Linked DNA regions of Arabidopsis thaliana. The protein of the gene in region 1 interacts with the protein of each later gene in a biochemical or structural test. Each region holds a gene or a part of one and is shown in the gene's direction. Other genes may lie near its edges.

What was found.
Region 2: of the proteins of MPK2 (region 1) and JMJ18, one has a biochemical effect on the other in vitro, tested with the Arabidopsis thaliana proteins (one large-scale study listed by BioGRID).
Region 3: of the proteins of MPK2 (region 1) and AT1G63100, one has a biochemical effect on the other in vitro, tested with the Arabidopsis thaliana proteins (one large-scale study listed by BioGRID).
Region 4: of the proteins of MPK2 (region 1) and LAF1, one has a biochemical effect on the other in vitro, tested with the Arabidopsis thaliana proteins (one large-scale study listed by BioGRID).

Annotation. Positions count from the first base shown.
Region 1 is NC_003070.9:21,882,034-21,886,588, forward strand, and holds MPK2 (mitogen-activated protein kinase homolog 2), read left to right. Parts: upstream 1-1,984; 5' UTR 1,985-2,174; intron 2,175-2,476; 5' UTR 2,477-2,487; coding exon 2,488-2,910; intron 2,911-3,002; coding exon 3,003-3,710; 3' UTR 3,711-4,018; downstream 4,019-4,555. Other genes in the region: ZCF61 (E3 Ubiquitin ligase family protein), read left to right, coding at 1-125, 206-301, 378-518, 607-672, 748-860, 947-1,078, 1,165-1,208, 1,316-1,394 and 1 more.
Region 2 is NC_003070.9:10,936,222-10,943,519, reverse strand, and holds JMJ18 (Transcription factor jumonji (jmj) family protein / zinc finger (C5HC2 type) family protein), read left to right. Parts: upstream 1-1,551; 5' UTR 1,552-1,753; intron 1,754-1,939; 5' UTR 1,940-2,014; coding exon 2,015-2,050; intron 2,051-2,414; coding exon 2,415-2,501; intron 2,502-2,599; coding exon 2,600-2,677; intron 2,678-2,762; coding exon 2,763-3,479; intron 3,480-3,568; coding exon 3,569-4,102; intron 4,103-4,198; coding exon 4,199-4,772; intron 4,773-4,859; coding exon 4,860-5,143; intron 5,144-5,231; coding exon 5,232-5,381; 3' UTR 5,382-5,805; coding exon of another isoform or gene 5,806-6,525; 3' UTR 6,526-6,755; downstream 6,756-7,298. Other genes in the region: AT1G30814 (uncharacterized protein), read left to right, coding at 1-366, 460-513, 611-694; AT1G30800 (Fasciclin-like arabinogalactan family protein), read right to left, coding at 5,806-6,525. UniProt on the Arabidopsis thaliana protein: Histone demethylase that demethylates 'Lys-4' (H3K4me) of histone H3 with a specific activity for H3K4me3 and H3K4me2. No activity on H3K9me3/2, H3K27me3/2 and H3K36me3/2.
Region 3 is NC_003070.9:23,398,609-23,404,172, reverse strand, and holds AT1G63100 (GRAS family transcription factor), read left to right. Parts: upstream 1-1,996; 5' UTR 1,997-2,805; coding exon 2,806-4,782; 3' UTR 4,783-5,061; downstream 5,062-5,564. Other genes in the region: AT1G63105 (uncharacterized protein), read right to left, coding at 1-32. UniProt on the Arabidopsis thaliana protein: Probable transcription factor involved in plant development.
Region 4 is NC_003075.7:13,050,546-13,054,252, forward strand, and holds LAF1 (myb domain protein 18), read left to right. Parts: upstream 1-1,957; 5' UTR 1,958-2,009; coding exon 2,010-2,136; intron 2,137-2,182; exon of another isoform or gene 2,183-2,223; coding exon 2,224-2,353; intron 2,354-2,433; coding exon 2,434-3,028; 3' UTR 3,029-3,197; downstream 3,198-3,707. Other genes in the region: AT4G25550 (Cleavage/polyadenylation specificity factor, 25kDa subunit), read left to right, coding at 63-173, 257-328; ACYB-2 (Cytochrome b561/ferric reductase transmembrane protein family), read right to left, coding at 3,342-3,668. UniProt on the Arabidopsis thaliana protein: Transcription factor that promotes photomorphogenesis in the light by participating in the transmission of phytochrome A (phyA) signals to downstream responses. Probably acts by activating expression of light-induced genes.

The DNA of each region.
Region 1 (4,555 bases):
AACAATTAGTAGAAGTAGAGAGCAAGGTGGTACCTTTGATCATCGCAGTATCAGGAGATGTTGGCTCTGAGACTCCTATTAAGTGTGAGCATAGTTATGTTCTCGGTGTATTTCTCAAGAGAACGGTATGTATGAATTGGATTAGATAATCTAGTTTTTCGTTTCTGTGATTTTGGATATGTTAAAAAGAAACGATTTTTTTCAGGCAGAACAACAGGTTTTGAGACGTAATTGGAGATTTTCATGGGTTCGAAATAGTACATTGATGCAGCCGATGACTAAGGAAGTCCCCTGGTATCTGGTATGTCTGTTGGACTTTGATTGGAGTGTATTACTTTCTAAAGTCATTTACAAAATATGATATTGGTTGCCTATAGGACGACGGGACAGGTCGTGTGAATGTAGATGTATCTCAAGGTGAATTAGGCTTGGCGTTGACGGTTGGTAGTGATGTATTTGAAAAGGCAGAGCCGGTATCGCTTGTTCAAGGAGCGTTGGGTTATCTTAAAGGCTTTAAGGTCTTTTCTTTTCCTTTCCTACCACTTTTCATTGATTTGCTTTTGTTTTGACAATGCTTATACATTGTGGCACCATTGTTGTCTATAGATACTTGGAGTAAGACACGTTGAGCGTGTTGTCCCAATTGGTACACCGCTTACAGTTGTTGGTGAGGTATGTCTTTTATCTGTTAGCGGTCCAAAATACGTTTTATATCTCTCTTTGTTATGTTGCTTACCATGTTAACAGGCTGTTAGGGATGGCATGGGGAATGTCAGGATTCAAAAACCTGAGCAAGGACCTTTCTACGTCACTTATATACCGCTAGATCAGCTCATCTCTAAATTGGGAGATTTGTCAAGGTTGTTTCTTTTCTCTGTTTTTGCCTATTCTTTTCTTCGAAAACTATGATTGAAAAAAATTCTAAAAGATCTCTTTCTTTTGGCAGGAGGTTCAAGTATGCCTCCATGGGTTTAACTGTTCTTGGTGTGATTCTTATTTCAAAGCCTGTGATTGAATATATTCTAAAGAGAATTGAAGATACTCTAGAAAGAAGGCGGCGACAATTCGCACTGAAAAGGTATGACGCACCCTAACCACAGCCACGTATGAAGTATTCATTGCGAGTTGCGAGTTGCGAGTTAAGTGTTGGGTAACTTGTTGCAGAGTTGTTGATGCAGCTGCTAGGAGAGCCAAACCAGTAACTGGAGGTAGTAATAGTATCTATCCATTAGAGTTTGTACTTTGTAGTAGTAACATGTGAATCCTTTTTCTGCATACACTTGGAATTGCTCTGCTTACAAAAACGTCTTACCAGGTGGTACAAGCAGAGATGGTGATACACCTGATCTCTGTGTGGTTTGCCTTGACCAGAAGTATAACACCGCTTTTGTTGAGTAAGTATAAGACCGCTTTTCTTCTAAAAGCTCTTGAAAACCCTCTCACTGATCAAACATGGCATCTTTTGATTCCTCTTTTTGTTTGGTTTGGACTTGTAGGTGTGGTCATATGTGCTGCTGCACACCATGCTCCTTGCAACTAAGGACCTGTCCTCTTTGCCGGGAACGAATACAACAAGTTTTGAAAATTTACCGCCATTGAAGGACAAAACTCAGAACGATTTTTACAAGCGAACAATTACTAGTCTTGTACATATAGTAAAGCCTTTGTATCATGAGTTTTTGACTAGAAATTTTTTTGCATTGATAGATTGTGATTGAACAAATGCTAATATAAATTTCAAGCTTAGATTTACATTTACTAATGAAGTTATATAATCACGTTTCGATGTTAAAATAAGAAGTGAAAAAACGTGAACGGCAGGATTCGAACCTGCGCGGGCAAAGCCCACATGATTTCTAGTCATGCCCGATAACCACTCCGGCACGTCCACTTTTTGTTAATTCCTCACTATCTTAAATATCTAATTACCGTTAATTATTACAAATCAGGTTGGGCTTAATTAAGCCCAAAGTTAAAGACAGATTAGTGAAGGAGACAGAGAAAGAAACAGCTCTAAAATGGTAATGAACGAGAAACTAGAGAGTCAACGGTCATAGCGTTGACCAAATCTCTCACTCTCACCAGCCAAATCTCTCCAACTTCCTCTTTCTCTCCACCCAAATCTCGCCGGCGATCGTCACTGACGAATCTGATTCGTCCCCAACACTCAACGGGTAAGCTCTCTCTGCAAAATTCAGATCGTTCTAGCTCAATCTCAACATCGGATCAAGATTCAACTTTTGTTCTTTTCTCTTAAACAAAGCTTTTGATCATTAGTGAAATCTAAAATATTAACCTTTGAATCTGTAAACTTAAGCTTAGAGAACCCTAAGATCAAAACTAAAAATTTGATCTTTCATTGTCACTTGTTGGAAGCAATTCAAAATTCTGTGTTGTGTATATTTTCAAATTTGTGGATTGTTCCAATTTCGATAAAGTTTTGATTTTTATTCCTTTTGTTGTGTGTTTTTATAAGGAGGTAGAAGAATGGCGACTCCTGTTGATCCACCTAATGGAATTAGGAATCAAGGGAAGCATTACTTCTCAATGTGGCAAACACTTTTCGAGATCGATACCAAATACGTGCCTATCAAACCGATAGGCCGAGGCGCGTACGGTGTGGTTTGCTCTTCGGTTAACAGAGAGAGTAATGAGAGAGTGGCGATCAAGAAGATCCACAATGTGTTTGAGAATAGGATTGATGCGTTGAGGACTCTTAGGGAGCTCAAGCTTCTACGTCATCTTCGACATGAGAATGTGGTTGCTCTTAAAGATGTAATGATGGCTAATCATAAGAGAAGCTTTAAGGATGTTTATCTTGTTTATGAGCTTATGGATACTGATCTTCATCAGATTATTAAGTCTTCTCAAGTTCTAAGTAATGACCATTGCCAATACTTCTTGTTCCAGGTATGTGATTTGTTTGCATTTGCTTTTACCATTAGTGTGTGTTGTTTGCATTTGGTGTTTGCATTTACTTGCTTTTTATTTCTTTTGCATAGTTGCTTCGAGGGCTCAAGTATATTCATTCAGCAAACATTCTCCATCGGGATCTGAAACCCGGTAACCTCCTTGTGAATGCAAACTGCGACTTAAAGATATGTGACTTTGGGCTAGCGAGGACGAGCAACACCAAAGGTCAGTTCATGACTGAATATGTTGTGACTAGATGGTACCGAGCACCAGAGCTACTCCTCTGTTGTGACAACTATGGAACCTCCATTGATGTCTGGTCAGTCGGTTGCATATTCGCCGAGCTTCTTGGAAGAAAACCAGTATTCCCGGGAACAGAATGTCTAAACCAGATTAAACTCATCATTAACATTTTGGGTAGCCAGAGAGAGGAAGATCTCGAGTTTATAGATAACCCAAAAGCCAAAAGATACATAGAATCACTCCCTTACTCACCAGGGATATCATTCTCTCGTCTTTACCCGGGTGCAAATGTTTTAGCCATTGATCTGCTTCAGAAAATGCTCGTTCTTGACCCTTCGAAAAGGATTAGTGTCACGGAAGCGCTTCAACATCCTTACATGGCGCCTTTATATGACCCGAGTGCAAATCCTCCTGCTCAAGTTCCTATTGATCTCGATGTAGATGAAGACGAGGATTTGGGAGCAGAGATGATAAGAGAATTAATGTGGAAGGAAATGATTCATTATCATCCAGAAGCTGCTACCATAAACAACAATGAGGTCTCTGAGTTTTGAGATCAAGTCTTTTGCAGGTACTGTTCAGAGAGATCTTTCAACAACTTAAACTTATTTATTTTCATGTTTGCTTCTTGAAATGTTGTTAATAATAGTGTCGAAGAAGAAGAACAATAACTTTAAATTATGTGATATGTTTGTGTCATGGAGCTTTGTTTTGTTTTTGGTTACAAGCTTAAGTGTCTGTAACGTTTGTACATAAGTGTATGTGTCCTTAAAACTTCATACTCTGTCTCTGATCTTATTGTTGGTGATTTTTCTTATTGAAGATTTTCGAATGTTCAAAGAGCAAACCATTGGATTAAATATGATTTTGAAGATAAATGTATTAACACAAAGATATACACTGTTTAAAAAAATTCATGAAATAAAACATATGCATAGAATATCAAAATAAAATTATTTGGGAAATAATTTTCAATGATACATAGAATGTTCCATAGATTCGTAGAATTTTTATAAATGTGTTTTTGACTTTCATGTACCTAATTCTGAATTCAGACTTAGTATATTGTGACATTAATAGAAGTATTAATTGCTTTGTTTGATAAAAATATTTTGATGTCTATCACACACTTAAATTTAACTTAAATGATAGAAAAAATGTCAATAATTAGTAACATTTATGCTTTGGAAAAATATTTTGATGAACAGCGTGTGAATAAGAATCTTTTTTTACTTTTGTAAATGGAAAAATGTAGGACTGCACTAATTATTGAAACCATTGATGTGAAAAAAAAATCAAGAGCCAAAGAGATAAAGATTCTAGAAGACCAAGTCAAGTCTTCTCGTCGATTAATAGTCAATGAATGTTCCTCATCATCATCTCTTTGATTTATGCGTTT
Region 2 (7,298 bases), about 11 Mb from region 1:
CCTCCGCAAGTTTACCGGATTGTTCCTCCTCAAGGTAACGGGGTAGCTCCTCCTCAAGATAACCAAGATGGTCCGCGAAGTTACCAAGTTGTTCCTATTCCTCAAGTTAACAAGGATCTTCCTCAAACTTACCACCTTGTTCCTTGTCGTAACGGAGTTCCTCAAGTTAACCAAGATCCTTCGACATTTTACCAAGTTGTTCCTCGTCAAGTTAACGAGGTTCCTCCGCAAGTTAACCGAGTTGTTCCTCGTCCAGCTAACGAGGTTCCTCCGCAAGTTAACCGGATTGTTCCTCCTCGAGTTTACCAGCGGAGGAACCGTGCAGCAACTGCTGAAACTGAATCAACTGCGAGTTCTTCTTTCAATGTGAGTAAATGTTAAATCTTATCTCTCTCTTTCTCTTAAAATGTACTAGCTACTTTCTTTATAATAATAAAGTGCTTTTACCCCTTTTTGCAGCAAAAGCCTGAGATCATTGTAGTTGAATACCCTGATGATTCTGTAGCTGAAACTGTAAGATTATATACAATTCTTTTGCCTTTTGAGGTGCTTGTAATTGATTCTTGAAACGTTTTTTGAAACATTGTGCTTTTTGGTTGTGTTTTGTTAGGTGAGAATGGTTGCAACAAAGAGAGTAGTAGAAGTAGAACAAGACAAGACAGAAGAAGCAGGAAACAAGAAGATTCGTCTCTAATCGATTGAAAGTACAACACAAGACTTGATTAAAAGTACCACAAATTTGCATCTTTCTTTTGTTTTACACATTTTGTTTCTTTTAGTTTTCCTCAGTTGATCAAACTCTCATGTGGAGATGTTTTTGTCGTGATTTATTTTATTTCTAATAAGATTCAAGAACCTTATTTTTATTCTACAATTTGACTTCTCTGTACTTTCTGATCTATCTCAAAAGTATAGCTACAAAAAATAATAAATACTAAATTACGGGGACGAAATAATGAAACTTTCATCTCCATTTCCTTTAAAACGACGCGTTTTGGATAAAAAAACGAAACGGTCAAACTCTTTACTTTTCCGACGCGGAGAGAAACCTAAAACCAAAGACGACGTTCGACGAACGATCACGGAAGAACAACAAATGGCATAGAACCGTAAAATAAACAGAAAGCTGAGGGTAATTCAGTATTTTCCGCATAAATATTAGATCATCGTACGGTACGGTGTGGTGATCAAACGCTGATCCGTTAAAAACTCTTGAGAGTGCGTTTTCTTTGGCGGGTGTTCTCTAACTTCCTCGTTTCTCCAGATTCTTTACTTCAAATCACTCTCTTGTCTTTTCTCTGTCTCAATCTCTTATTTTTAAATATTCACATACTTCAATTTTCATGGTTTTTATTTTTTTTATCTAAAATTATATAATATTTGATAGAAAAAAAAAGAAGATTCGTATAACATCATCAGAGATAATCTCAAATACACTTCTTCTTCTTCTCGAAATCTCAGCCGTTCGTTTGTGGTAATCTCCTTCTCGACTTTTCCTTTTTTTTTTTAAACCTCTTTTGTAATTTTGTAGTAAATAATATTTTTAAGTTCCTTATCGTGGTTAAGTTCGGTTTGTTTTGTTTTATAATGTGTTCCTTCTTATTCGTCGTTACTACTAGGTCAATTAAATCTCTTTCTTAAATTTTCCCAGATTTGGGTATTTCTAACTTTAACTGCGAATTCAATTCTTATAGCATTAATTGGGCCAAAACAAAAGAACCAAAAAACTTTCAAGCTTTTTCTCCTTTGATAGGTAAAAAAAGATTGATTTTCATGAATTTAAATATCTGTGATTTTTGATGTTCTTGTTATTGTTCCTCTGTTTGTGAATTCAATTAGGGTTAGGAACTTTTTTTTTTTTTAACTTCTCTTTATTTTGATATATCGATATTTGTTTTTGTTGATAACATCGTTTTCTTATCTTTTTTTTTTTTCTCAGTTTCATTGGCTCTCAATCGAAGAAAACTTTTAGCTTACAAAATCTGCTTTGAGTAGTATTGATTTTTCAATTCATATGGAAAATCCTCCATTAGAATCTGAGATCAAAGAGGTGAGTTTTTCGATGTTTAATTCGTGTCTCAATCGATTAATTACTGTTTTTCTTGTTTGTTTATGGTTAATTACTGAAGATTATGTAACCTTGAATCAAAAACAGTATTGATGTTTGGTTTTTATTCATCATAGATTTGTATAGAGTCTTTTGTTTTCCGGATCTCGTTTGTTTACTTGATTTGGCAAATTACCTAATCACTGATCATAGATCCTCTTCGTCTTTGAATTATAGACTAGTTTTGTTGTTTATGCTTGATCTTTGTAACGCTGATTATAGTTTCTAGGTCTGTTTAATCAAACACATATTCATATATTTGTTGTTCTTCTCTAAAAATAAATTTATGTGTGTTTTTAATATACAGGATATGTCTTTGAAGAATCATCCTCCAGACAAGGATAAGGACAAAGACACTATCATGGAACAACCTAGTAGTCCACGTCATCGGAAGGTAATATGATGTAATCTGATGCAGAATCCAAAAACTTATATAAATCTTGAAACAAGTTTTGTTCTTACATAATGTTTTTTTTTTTGTATATGTTAAAGGTTGTTGCTAGATGGTTACCTGATGAAGCACAGAGGCCAATTATCAATGACGCTCCCGTATTCACTCCATCACTAGAGGTACTAATTGCTTTGTTGTTTCCATGATCTTTTGTTGATGTTTTTGAGTTCTTGTTCGTTAATTTCCCTCTTTATTGGTTATCAGGAGTTTGTAGATCCACTTGCGTATATCGAGAAGATACGTCCACTAGCAGAGCCGTATGGTATCTGTCGAATCATCCCACCATCGACATGGAAGCCTCCTTGCCGGCTTAAGGAGAAGAGTATATGGGAGCAGACAAAGTTTCCTACTCGGATTCAAACCGTAGACCTGCTTCAGAACCGTGAGCCGATGAAGAAGAAACCGAAGAGTAGAAAGCGGAAACGGAGAAGAAACTCGAGAATGGGTTCGTCTAAGAGACGATCTGGTTCTTCTCCCGCTGAATCGACTTCATCACCCGAGGCTGAGGAGAAGTTTGGTTTCAATTCTGGTTCAGACTTCACTCTTGATGAGTTTGAGAAATATGCTCTGCATTTTAAAGACTCGTACTTTGAAAAGAAAGACTCTGGTGGAGATATAGTAAAATGGACACCGTCTGTGGATGATATAGAAGGGGAATACTGGCGGATAGTTGAGCAACCAACAGATGAAGTGGAGGTTTACTATGGAGCTGACTTGGAGAATGGGGTGCTTGGAAGCGGGTTTTATAAAAGAGCCGAGAAGTTTACCGGTAGCGATATGGAGCAGTACACATTATCTGGCTGGAACTTGAATAACTTACCACGGCTTCCTGGCTCTGTACTCTCTTTTGAAGATTGTGACATATCCGGAGTTCTAGTTCCATGGCTATATGTGGGAATGTGTTTTTCATCATTTTGTTGGGTAAGTACACTTTCACTCTTTGATTTTATTATAAACATTTTTTCTCTAATGTTTGGATGTTTGATGTGATATTTCTTTGTCTTGAACAGCATGTGGAGGACCATCATTTATATTCACTTAACTATCATCACTTTGGGGAGCCAAAAGTATGGTATGGTGTTCCAGGAAGCAATGCAACCGCTCTCGAGAAGGCGATGAGGAAACATTTACCTGACTTGTTCGAAGAACAGCCTGATCTACTACATGGCCTGGTTACTCAGTTTTCTCCTTCAATACTGAAAGATGAGGGAGTCCAGGCTTACCGGGTCGTGCAGAATTCAGGGGAGTATGTATTGACATTCCCGAGGGCGTATCATGCTGGATTCAACTGCGGTTTCAACTGCGCAGAAGCGGTTAATGTGGCTCCGGTTGATTGGTTGGCTCATGGACAGAACGCTGTGGAACTATATAGTAAAGAGACAAGGAAGACTTCTCTGTCTCACGACAAGCTTCTTCTTGGAGCAGCTTATGAAGCGGTGAAGGCTCTTTGGGAACTCTCAGCTTCTGAGGGAAAGGAAAATACAACAAATTTGAGATGGAAGAGTTTCTGTGGGAAGAACGGGACACTTACCAACGCGATACAAGTAACGAAAAACAGATACTACTTGAGTCATGATACTGAATATAGTTTTCACTTTCTAATGCTTACTTTGGTTCATTTGTTTTGAAAATATTGACAGGCTCGGTTACAAATGGAAGAGGGGAGAATTACAGCTCTTGGTAGGGATTCTTCAAGCTTGAAGAAGATGGAGAAGGACTTTGATTCAAACTGTGAAAGGGAATGTTTCTCATGCTTTTATGATTTGCATCTCTCGGCTTCTGGCTGCAAGTGCTCTCCCGAAGAATACGCGTGCCTTAAACATGCAGATGATCTTTGTTCATGTGATGTGAAAGATGGATTTATTCTTCTCCGGTACACAATGGATGAGTTAAGCTCGTTGGTCAGAGCATTGGAAGGGGAATCAGATGATTTAAAGATATGGGCTTCCAAGGTTTTAGGCATTGAACATAGTGATGAAGATCAGACAAAGACTAGTTCAGTTATCAGTGAGGAGAAGAAGTTAAAGGAAGGTTCTTTTGATCTGAACATTGACTTAGAGATGGATTATCAAGAAGACGTTAAAGAAGAAGCCAGCACTAGTGGCGGCGAGTTAACCGCCTCAGAGAACCTTGGTGTATCGGTCGAGCCTATAAACCTCGGGTTCTTGATTTTTGGAAAGCTTTGGTGCAATAAGTATGCTATATTCCCAAAAGGTACTATCTTTGAAATGCTCTTTTGTTAATGTTACTTGATCAAATTTGCTGAAATGGTTGTTGATGTTTGTTTTACAACTTTAACAGGATTCAGGAGTCGTGTCAAGTTCTACAATGTTCTTGATCCAACAAGAATGAGCAATTACATCTCTGAGGTTTTGGATGCAGGACTCATGGGTCCATTGTTCAGGGTTACTCTGGAAGAATCTCCAGACGAGAGCTTCTTCAATGTCTCTGCACAACAATGCTGGGAAATGGTGATGCGGAGAGTTAAAGATACATCAACAAGTCTTGGTCTTCCTATTTTACCACAGTTTGAGAGTATCAACGGGCTTCAAATGTTTGGTTTCCTCTCACCCTCTATAGTTCAGGTAAGAAATCTAAATCCAAGCCTTGTTCTTCTTCATTAAAAAGCTATTCATGATGTTAACTCTTACACAACTTAACGCTTCTCTACAGGCCATTGAAGCTCTTGACCCAAACCATCGACTAGTTGAGTACTGGAACCACAAGAACCAAACTTCATCAGACTCAAAAGATCACTTCATATCATCAAACTGTTCCGCAAGTTTAACCAAAGGAAAACTTTTCGGAGTAGATTTGATGTAAACAAAAAAGACTGTACCAACTCCGAGACCAACAACAACAACAGAAACAACAATGACATATCTTTTAGATAGATAGAGAGAAGAAATTTCTTTCTGATTTTTTTTTTTTGTTTTGGGGGCATTTATTATTCATAATCTTTTGTTCTTATTTATCATAGCAAGAACAAATAACCTAACCTTAGCGTTAGTGAAGTGTAAACTAGAAAAGAAAAGTCATAATAATAGAAATTCTTCTTTCAAAAATCAAGAAAATTTGCTATTGCTTAATGTGAAAAACTTTACATTATGTAACAGAGTTTCACAAAATCTTGAAAAAAATTAGACTTTGAGTCTAAAAAATCTTGTAAAGACAAAAAAGAGATATTTCACGCCGTTAGTGGAATCTTGACGGTTACTTCGCCGGAAAAAGTCGCCGGAATGTTGAGTCAGAACAGAGCCAGAGTCGCCAATGGAAGCAAGAACGAGCCAGTTGAGAAATGTACTGTGGATGCAGAAGCAGAGGTTTGATTGGTGTCACTGTTGGATCCATCGGGATGACGACGGCGACTAGAAGGCTGAAAAGGCCAAGGACGGAGACTATCAGCTAAAGTAGTATCACCGGTACCAAAATCGCCGTAACGTGAGAAATCAAGAGACGAAGCAACGCCGTGAATAGCAATTGAAGAAGAGAGGAAAAGATCCGGTTCAGAGACAAGAACGCCGTCGAGTGCGTAACCGGGAACAGAGTTGTTAGTGACGACGATTGTGTTTCCGGGGAGAAGAGTCGGAAGACGAGAGAGTGGTTTGAAGAGACGAAGATCTGTGAAGGAGAGTCGTTGAGGTACGATGTGGTAAGCGACGGAGAGACGACGGGGATTAGCGTTGTTGTTGCCAGTGGTGGAGGAAGAGGAGGAGGAGATATCAGCGGAGTCGAAATCGCTTGGGATGAAGATAGTGGCGGAGAGAGGGATACCGAATTGGTCATCGACGGCGGAGAGAAAATCTGCGGCCCAGTCACGGAAATCTCCGGCTCCGATCATTGCTTCGATGATTCTGTCGGCGTGTTGGTGATCTTGGGACGTGAGATACGCTGGAGAAGCGGCGGAAGTGAGGAATGTGACGGTGGTGATGAGGAAGAGGAGAAAGAGATGGCTTGAGGTGGCCATCGGAGATTCAAATCGGCGGCGAAGTTGTAACAGAATGAGAGAGAATCTTTTTGAGTTCGTTAGGATTCTTCAACAATGAAGAAGAACTCTGTTCTTCTTTCTTTATTTATATACCTCTTTAGTTAAATTATTAAGAGGATGGATTAGTTAAACCGGTTTTCCGGTTTGGTTAAGTGATAAAACCGAGACTTTGTGTTGAAAAGGAGACTCCTTGAAGGCCAGAAGAGAGCAAAAAAAAAAAAAAAAGGAACCACCTTTGAATTTTTGCAATTCTCTCTGATTTCTCCACCACCAAAGTGATTATATAGTTATGAATATTGAACACAATTGCTTACATGCCGTATACAATGCATTATCTGCTGCTACTGTCAAAACAGCTCTACTCGTTATGAATATTGAACACAACCCCAGCCTTGTTCGTGCCCGGGGGAGTCATATTTGTACCCGACCCCAAAGAGAAAGGAAGCTCAAATGTTAGGTTGGGCCAATCATGTGTCTTCACATCCTCTAATATCCATAAATCAAAACTTTGGAAAATCATGTTTTGTTTGTTATTCTCCTTAACATTGTTGGACATAAATTAAAAACTCATTTGAATCAAAACGTAAGATATCTCTTTTCGAAACAATGGAAAACTAATAGATATCTAACATAGTATTTATTCAATTTATTAATTACTACACCAGTGATCTTTATTACAGTTTCATACCATGATATTACCATCAATTATTTATAGATGATCAACGGTGATATATAGAGATAGATAATACATT
Region 3 (5,564 bases), 1.5 Mb from region 1:
TCGTCTCCCAAATCTGTGTTAGTGGCTTTCATGTAAGCTGTATAGAAATAGTCTACATTCGTCCTTGCTTTCTTGGCTTTGGTGTTTATCTCTGTATAAATAGATTGCATCTTAAGAACCAAAAACAAAAAAGAGTTATTGAGTTTTTTATATAATACGAATAAGAGCTAGCTAGAGAGAATTGTGATGATGCACATCCTATATATATACACACGTTTAACAACTTGATTAGCAAGTTCAATAACTATCGCAAAAGTGCTTTATTCGCTCATAAGTCATAATCAACCTCCCAATTTTTTTTTAACAAAGTATAGTTTATGTGTACACGCTTAATTAAGCCACCCTCCCAAGCTTAGTGTTTTTTTCTTACTTTTTATTCATCAAACTCAAAGGAAATGAATGATCTAATTCAAAACTAATTATACAAATGGAATTCCACAATGCACAATGAATGGTTAACGTGGGAGGGAATTATGTACCTTTATATCGTTTAAGAACAATCCTTTTAAGATACAATTATTTTCTTATTTGCATTTGGTTTAGCTTTCATGCAAAGTTTATTTTCTTTTTTTGGATAACGACTTTTATGCAAAGTTCTCTATTAATATAGCTCTTATCCTGTTATATCATCTGTATATTGTAGCATGATTTCTTACAGAGCACATGATAACAATCCAAAATAAATATATGTGTATATTTGTGCTAAGTGTATCTATATATAATTATATATTATTCATTAATATATATGTTAATATCTACTTTTATGTGTATAGTTTAGATTTTGTACATAGATTCAGATTTGATTTTTAGTCTAGTGATTAACTAGATTATGTTCATACTATTTTAGTGTTTCCTAGAAAATCATTACAACCCAAATACTTATCTAAACATCTTAAGATAGAGTTTTAAGATGTTAAACCTAAAAGGTCCTAGTGTTAATGAATGAAAAATATCAATTATTAGGGAAAAGATACTAGAAATTATATACATCTTGAATTAATCATTACCATTAGATTAAAATGTATTTCTAAATAGTTTCCAAATATTTACCCTATTTCTTATTCTTATTTATCAGTAAAATTAGACAACATTTTGATACAAAAAGAAACACATTTTGCCCATCTTTATTAATAGGCTTATTAAAAAAAGGTTTATTAAAAAGCCCATTATATTTGCTAGTAAAGCCCATTAGTTTTGAAATTTTGTAAGCTCTTTATGTTTGTGAAATCTTGCTTATTTGTTTCATAGCTATTCTTTGGTTGCGAATTTTGTTGAACCTTAACCTAGTGTGGAAGCAATGCCGGAACCTCTAATTTTTTGTTAACGCAATTCAAGAAACTCTAGGAAGGCCAGAAACTCTAATTTCTTGTGAATGCAATTTTACACAAGTTTCAATAAAAAAAAATTGATGCTTAGTTTCGATTTCTGGTATGTTCCATGAATATTGGGTTTTTTTTAGACGTTATAAAATGTAAAACTTCAAAAAACATTGACATACGACAATTGAATAAATTGAATTAGTATTGGGGAAGTATTTTGCGTAGAAAAATGGTACATGTAAATTATTGGTATAATAAAACAATTATAAAAAGATTTAAGGGGATGCGTAAGAAAATCATAAACAATCATTCTTACTAATATAGAGAAGGAATTAGTAAATATATTTCACAAAACTGGCAATATTTATTAATGACAGATAAATTTAGTACCCTAAATAGTTATTTGGACTTTGTACAATGATCATTTGTTTTTTTACTGCGAATGTGTCATAGTCTAAAAAAAAACAATGTCATTTTTTGGTGGGTGTATTAAAAAAAGTCGTTGTTGGCTTTCCCAATCAGAAGTCATTGATGTCCGTACACACCCAACACTCTCTTCTTTCTTCCTCTCTCCCAACGGTCATATTTCTCCGACAATTCACAAACGGTCACCAATTTTCTACCGTTTGATTTTAAAGATCCAACGGCTCAGATAGATTCAGATCCCTCGTGTACCACTCACTCTGCCCAACTCTAAAAAACAATTACTGTAAAAAGAAAAGTCGCCAACTTCAATTCTCGAAGACCCAACAAGAAAACAAACTCTAAAAAGTTGCCTCCACTATGGTATTTGTAGAAGCTGTATAGTATCTCTTAACCCCTGTAGAGAGTTAGAGAGAGAGAGAGAGAGAGAGAAACCAAAAGTGAGTGAGAGAAACAGATAGAAGTGAGAGTGAGAGTGAGAGAGAGAGTGAAGAAAGTAACAATCTTTGAGAGTTTTTGGATCTTGATCTTGTGTTTCAGTAATCTCCTAGTGATTGTCTGATCTGGGTTCTTGTTGATTTTGGGTTTCTGGATGTTCTGAGAGATTTTTCTTGATTTGGCAAAACCAGAATGGCAAACCGGAATGGTGAACCGGGTTTACAGCAACTCTCAAGTCTGTTTATCCAGCAACTTCGAGGTCGTTCTTCAGTAGTCTCTGTTCGTGATGATGTGAATTCGTTGGTCGTCATTATCATCTAAATGAGATTTTGTTGTTTTTTATAAAGTTTAAGGAATCCGATGATTGTTTTATGGTAGATTGATTTGATTTAGTTTAGTTCGATAATTCTTTCATTCTTTATTTGATTATATAGATTCGTTGGTTCTTTTGGGGCAGGGGATTCAAATTCATTTCATTCTTCAATTTTTTCATATAGGATTCACTTTGATTTCACTAAAACCAAAAAAAAAAGATTCATCGGATTCCATTTTTTTAATTGTTTGAGCAAACACACACACACTTGTAGACCATCTCTTGAATTGGGTTAGGTAGATTTTGTAGAGGATGTTGGCAGGTTGTTCGAGTTCATCATTGTTGTCGCCTACTCGAAGATTGAGGAGTGAAGCAGTAGCAGCAACATCAGCAACAGTATCAGCGCATTTTCCCATGAACACACAGAGATTGGACTTACCATGCAGTAGTAGCTTCTCTCGCAAGGAAACTCCTTCTAGCAGACCACTTGGAAGAAGCATCTCTCTTGACAACAGCAACAACAACAACAACAAACCGATCGAGCGCAAGACGAAGACCAGTGGTTGTTCGCTTAAACAGAACATAAAGCTTCCACCTTTGGCAACAACAAGAGGAAATGGAGAAGGGTTTTCTTGGAACAACGACAACAACAACAGAGGGAAGAGTTTGAAGAGATTAGCTGAGGAGGACGAGTCTTGTTTGAGCAGAGCGAAGAGGACAAAATGCGAAAACGAAGGTGGTTTCTGGTTTGAGCATTTCACTGGCCAGGATTCTTCTTCACCAGCATTACCTTTTTCTTTGACTTGTTCAGGTGATGATGAGGAAAAGGTTTGCTTTGTGCCAAGTGAAGTCATTTCTCAGCCTTTACCAAACTGGGTTGATTCGGTGATTACGGAGCTAGCTGGTATAGGCGATAAGGACGTTGAGAGTAGCCTTCCTGCAGCAGTTAAGGAAGCATCTGGAGGATCATCTACAAGCGCATCATCCGAGAGTCGTAGCTTAAGCCATAGAGTACCAGAACCTACAAATGGCTCAAGGAATCCGTACTCACACCGCGGTGCAACAGAGGAAAGGACCACCGGAAACATCAACAACAACAACAACAGGAACGATTTGCAGAGGGATTTCGAGCTTGTCAATTTGCTTACGGGATGCTTAGACGCGATCAGATCAAGAAACATAGCAGCGATTAACCATTTCATTGCAAGAACCGGTGATCTTGCTTCTCCTAGAGGAAGAACACCAATGACTCGCCTCATAGCTTACTACATTGAAGCTTTGGCTCTAAGAGTGGCGCGTATGTGGCCTCACATCTTCCACATCGCACCCCCTCGTGAATTCGATAGAACTGTCGAAGATGAATCAGGAAATGCATTGAGGTTCTTGAATCAAGTAACCCCAATTCCAAAGTTCATTCATTTCACAGCCAACGAGATGTTACTCAGAGCATTTGAAGGGAAAGAGAGAGTTCACATTATTGACTTCGACATCAAGCAAGGTTTACAGTGGCCTAGCTTCTTCCAAAGCTTAGCTTCGAGAATAAATCCACCACACCATGTACGAATCACTGGGATCGGAGAATCGAAACTTGAGCTAAACGAAACCGGAGATCGCCTCCACGGATTTGCAGAGGCGATGAATCTTCAATTCGAGTTTCATCCTGTAGTTGATAGACTCGAAGACGTTAGACTATGGATGCTTCACGTCAAAGAAGGTGAATCAGTAGCTGTAAACTGTGTCATGCAGATGCACAAGACACTCTACGATGGAACCGGAGCAGCAATTAGGGATTTTTTGGGTTTAATCAGAAGCACAAACCCAATAGCTCTCGTTCTTGCGGAGCAAGAAGCAGAACACAACTCAGAGCAACTTGAGACACGAGTTTGTAACTCGCTAAAGTACTATTCAGCTATGTTTGATGCAATTCACACGAATCTTGCTACAGATAGCTTAATGAGAGTCAAAGTTGAGGAGATGTTGTTTGGGAGAGAGATCAGGAACATTGTTGCGTGTGAAGGAAGTCATAGACAAGAGAGGCATGTGGGTTTTCGTCATTGGAGGAGGATGTTGGAGCAGTTAGGGTTTCGGAGTCTTGGAGTCTCGGAGAGAGAGGTTTTGCAGAGTAAGATGTTGCTTAGGATGTACGGATCTGATAATGAAGGGTTTTTCAATGTGGAGAGGAGCGATGAAGACAACGGCGGTGAAGGCGGACGCGGCGGTGGAGTTACTTTACGGTGGTCGGAGCAGCCACTTTATACGATCTCGGCTTGGACTACCGGAGGGAATTAAAGTTTGAAGAAAAAAAAAAAAAAAAATTATACATTTAGGGTTTTAAAGACTTTTAGAAAAAGGGGAAAATGTTTTTTTTTTTATCAAAGAAAATAGGGAAAATATTGATTTTATTCTTTCATTCATTATTTGGGAGCGGGTAGGTTATTTTTATAAAAAAATGTAAGAATTAAAAAAAATTATTTTGTATTAGTTACTTTGGAGTCTTTTACATGTAACTTGGAGGCTTTTGAATGTTTTGCTATCAATAATGAAACTGAAGTATTATTTTTCTTTACAGTATTTATTGCAAATATAGAAAGTTTAGTGACATATTTGTTTTATTAATTTTGGTAAGAAAAATATTCTATTATATTGAAGACAACAAATATTATGTTTGAAAAAAAAAATCACCACTGTGAATTGTGAAATGTGAATGTTGATATGGGCCTTGTATGAGGTCGGCCCATTATATTCCAGTAATTCTCATTCTCTACTCTTTGGTTTGTGGAATTAGTCTTTTCAAACTTTGTATCATTCATGGCTAGTTTTCGCATTGATGAATTTTTTTTTTTTAATAAGACTAGTCAAGTCATTTTCGCCAGCGTTTTGAAGTAAGTTAATTAGAAATATCACTTATTTATTAGTATTATACTACAGAAAATAGCCATCATGCTTAAGAATTGTTGAAGACAATGACCAATTTTCCATAATTTTGCTATGTTTATAACTCAATCAACATCATTTTCAAAAACTAGTTCATAATGTAATTTAATTATTGAAAATATATAACAAAAAAATCT
Region 4 (3,707 bases), on another chromosome or scaffold:
AAGCTTCTCAGAATTTCCCTTTACTCTTCTCCTTATATCTCCTCTTTTTTGTGGAATGGCAGGAATGCAAGAGACTCTACATTGTTCACTTGTCTGAGAAAGAGTACTTTGCTGTGCCCAAAAATTTGAAGCTCTTGGCCGTCCCTTTGTTCGAACTCTATGACAATGTTCAGGTTTTGCTTATATCCAGAATACCAACCTTTGGAAAATGGTTTTTACCTCAAACATCTAACCGTATATTATTTTCTTGAAACAGAGATATGGACCGGTTATATCAACCATTCCGCAGCAGCTATCCAGATTCCATTTCAACATGATTAGTTCGTGATTTCGACTCGGTGTGTTCAAGAACAAGGAACCTATCAGATGGGTAAGTTACTTAGGTACGGTAGAGAGCTGTAGCTACCGGATTAGAGATGGGGTTTTCCAATGATGCGAGTTGGGTTTTTTGCATTATAGACTTGTTGGCTTTTATGTAGAACCGGTTCAAAGTGTCAGCACAAAAAACAAAGATTATTGTATCTCATTTTTAAAAGCATTTGTCATTGTTTGACTAACGCCTGTCTTCTCTAACCGTAAAACATGTGTTTCATTCAATGTTGAATGATGTTTTTATTTTGGTGCATAAAACTAAGCCATGTTTAACCTTCTTTGTCAACATATTTCATAAAGTTTTATCAACATACCACAAGGCCTAATGGTCGAAGGAGGAGAAGTTTTGTTGTAGACGAACAATCTAAAGTATCCTAGTTATCATAACATTAGATGTATAAAATTTATTCTCCGAGGGCTAAGGATTAAGTCATCATAACATTAGATGTATAAAATTTATTAGTCGTGTTTCATTGGGGATTAGTTTGACGGCAAATTATATTATGTTATCAAGACGACCAAGACAAGGTAGACACTTTTTTATTGTTTCCCTCTCAATTTTCTTTACTCGTCATTTTCCACAGGCCAAAAGAGCCAACAAGTAAAAAACAAAATCAGAGTATTTTTAAAATTGGGACAGGCCATTTCGATCGGGACAGAAGGAATTCAAATTGTTGAAATTCACAATATTCCTCAAATAACTCTTATTATTGGTCCACTTGTCAGTGTGAATGTAAGAAAAACATCGTGAGAGGAAAAAATATGAAATAATTACTAGCAGCAAATAGGAGCTCAATGTTGACTTCACTACAAAATTTTATAATTAAGAGAAAAAGAGCTCTCAAATCATATAATAATTATTTCAAGTACTTGTATTAGCAAATGCAATTTGTCTGCTTGCTAATGATGCTTTACGAAAAGATTAACAGATTGGATGATTCTCTATAATCATTACTTCATTATTCACAATCATTGGATTGAATCAGACAGATTATTCCACCCGGATGATCGTTTCTAACCAAAAAACTCATTGACGCGATTTAAACATAAATTAAAGAAGTCGTTAATATAAAATTCTTGCCGACATTTTAGAGATTTTTGGATATGAAGATGTTATCTGATTAGTGTGTAAATTCTTAAGGCATCGTCCATTATAAATGAAGTAAATATAAGGAAAACAAACAATAAGAAAACAAAGTGAAAGAACAAAAACAAGCAAAGATTCTTCTTTTTTTTTTTTTTTATAGGTAGGAATCTCAAATCTTATATATACTGAAAATTGCTAATTTATTTTAAGTTGGAACATTATATCAATAATTTAAATTTATCCAAGCAGACTTTTGACACCTAATTAATCCTTACATATTCCATTATGACTTTTCTCCTCACTGCTTATACAAATGCATACAGTATACTCATAAGAAATTAACACATAAATTATATCCCAAATTTTCATAAAAATAGAAATATATATGTCATTTGTCATTTACTCTAAGCAGGCCCATTTGGTCATTTCTTAACACCAAGTATGTAGGCTCTATCTGTGGACGTTTGGTGATATATATGTTGTCTCAATCACCATATATAGTATTGAGACATGTTTTCTTGTATCAGGACAGACAGCTGACTAAAGAGAAATGGCGAAGACGAAATATGGAGAGAGACATAGGAAAGGGTTATGGTCACCTGAAGAAGACGAGAAGCTAAGGAGCTTCATCCTCTCTTATGGCCATTCTTGCTGGACCACTGTTCCCATCAAAGCTGGTCTCTCTTTCATCTTCTTCTTTATTAGTTTTTAGTTTCTCAAACTGAGTCAACTTTGATAATTGTTGTTGGGATTTAATTTGATAGGGTTACAAAGGAATGGGAAGAGCTGCAGATTAAGATGGATTAATTACCTAAGACCAGGGTTAAAGAGGGATATGATTAGTGCAGAAGAAGAAGAGACTATCTTGACGTTTCATTCTTCCTTGGGTAACAAGTAAGTGTATCTCTAAGACCTAACCCTATTGTTTTAGCAGATGCTAGTTATAGAGAGACTAATGATTTAGGTGTAATTAGGTGGTCGCAAATAGCTAAATTCTTACCGGGAAGAACAGACAATGAGATAAAGAACTATTGGCACTCTCATTTGAAAAAGAAATGGCTCAAGTCTCAGAGCTTACAAGATGCAAAATCTATTTCCCCTCCTTCGTCTTCATCATCATCACTTGTTGCTTGTGGAAAAAGAAATCCGGAAACCTTGATCTCGAATCACGTGTTCTCCTTCCAGAGACTTCTAGAGAACAAATCTTCATCTCCCTCACAAGAAAGCAACGGAAATAACAGCCATCAATGTTCTTCTGCTCCTGAGATTCCAAGGCTTTTCTTCTCTGAATGGCTTTCTTCTTCATATCCCCACACCGATTATTCCTCTGAGTTTACCGACTCTAAGCACAGTCAAGCTCCAAATGTCGAAGAGACTCTCTCAGCTTATGAAGAAATGGGTGATGTTGATCAGTTCCATTACAACGAAATGATGATCAACAACAGCAACTGGACTCTTAACGACATTGTGTTTGGTTCCAAATGTAAGAAGCAGGAGCATCATATTTATAGAGAGGCTTCAGATTGTAATTCTTCTGCTGAATTCTTTTCTCCATCAACAACGACGTAAATTGCGTTTATTGTAATGTAAATCAAATTTCTAAGGCAAAACCGGAAAAAAAATGTTTTGTTTTTTGTTTTGTCTTAAATGCTTTGACACCAATAAGGCAAATAGCATATATGGTTAAAGGAATGGCAATATGAAAGAAAAGAAAAGAAAAGAAAATGATTTAAAAGATTCATCAATATCATTGAAGATTTTACACACCAGAAGTAGCAAAGCCGTAACACACAAAGCTTTTCGCTACAAATGCATCATACATAAATGGAGTTTTGAGAGTACAAGGGGCGATACAGATGTAACGTGGAATGTAGAAAGTGTTTTATATAGCAGAATAACTGAAGTCAACACTATCATCATTGGAGACGGAAGGAGAAGGAGAAGGAGACTCAGCAGAAGCAGTGAGTACCACAAAGGCACCAAAGAGAATAGTGATAATGGCCGTGAAGTTGATAAGAAATGCTTCGGATCCATACTTGTCAAGCCCTCCATTCTCCAAGAAAGTCAGCTTTTCCAGAAACCCTAAAGCTGCATTCCCGACAGCAAGTATGTAAACAAACAGGCCAAGCATTGCGTGCCACGGAAGCAATCCGCTTTTCAAATTTGTTGATCCTCCTGGGAAGAAGAACACTATGAAGCTGTACACCCACTGTAAAGTTCAAAACTCTTGTTCTGGTCAGGAACAATA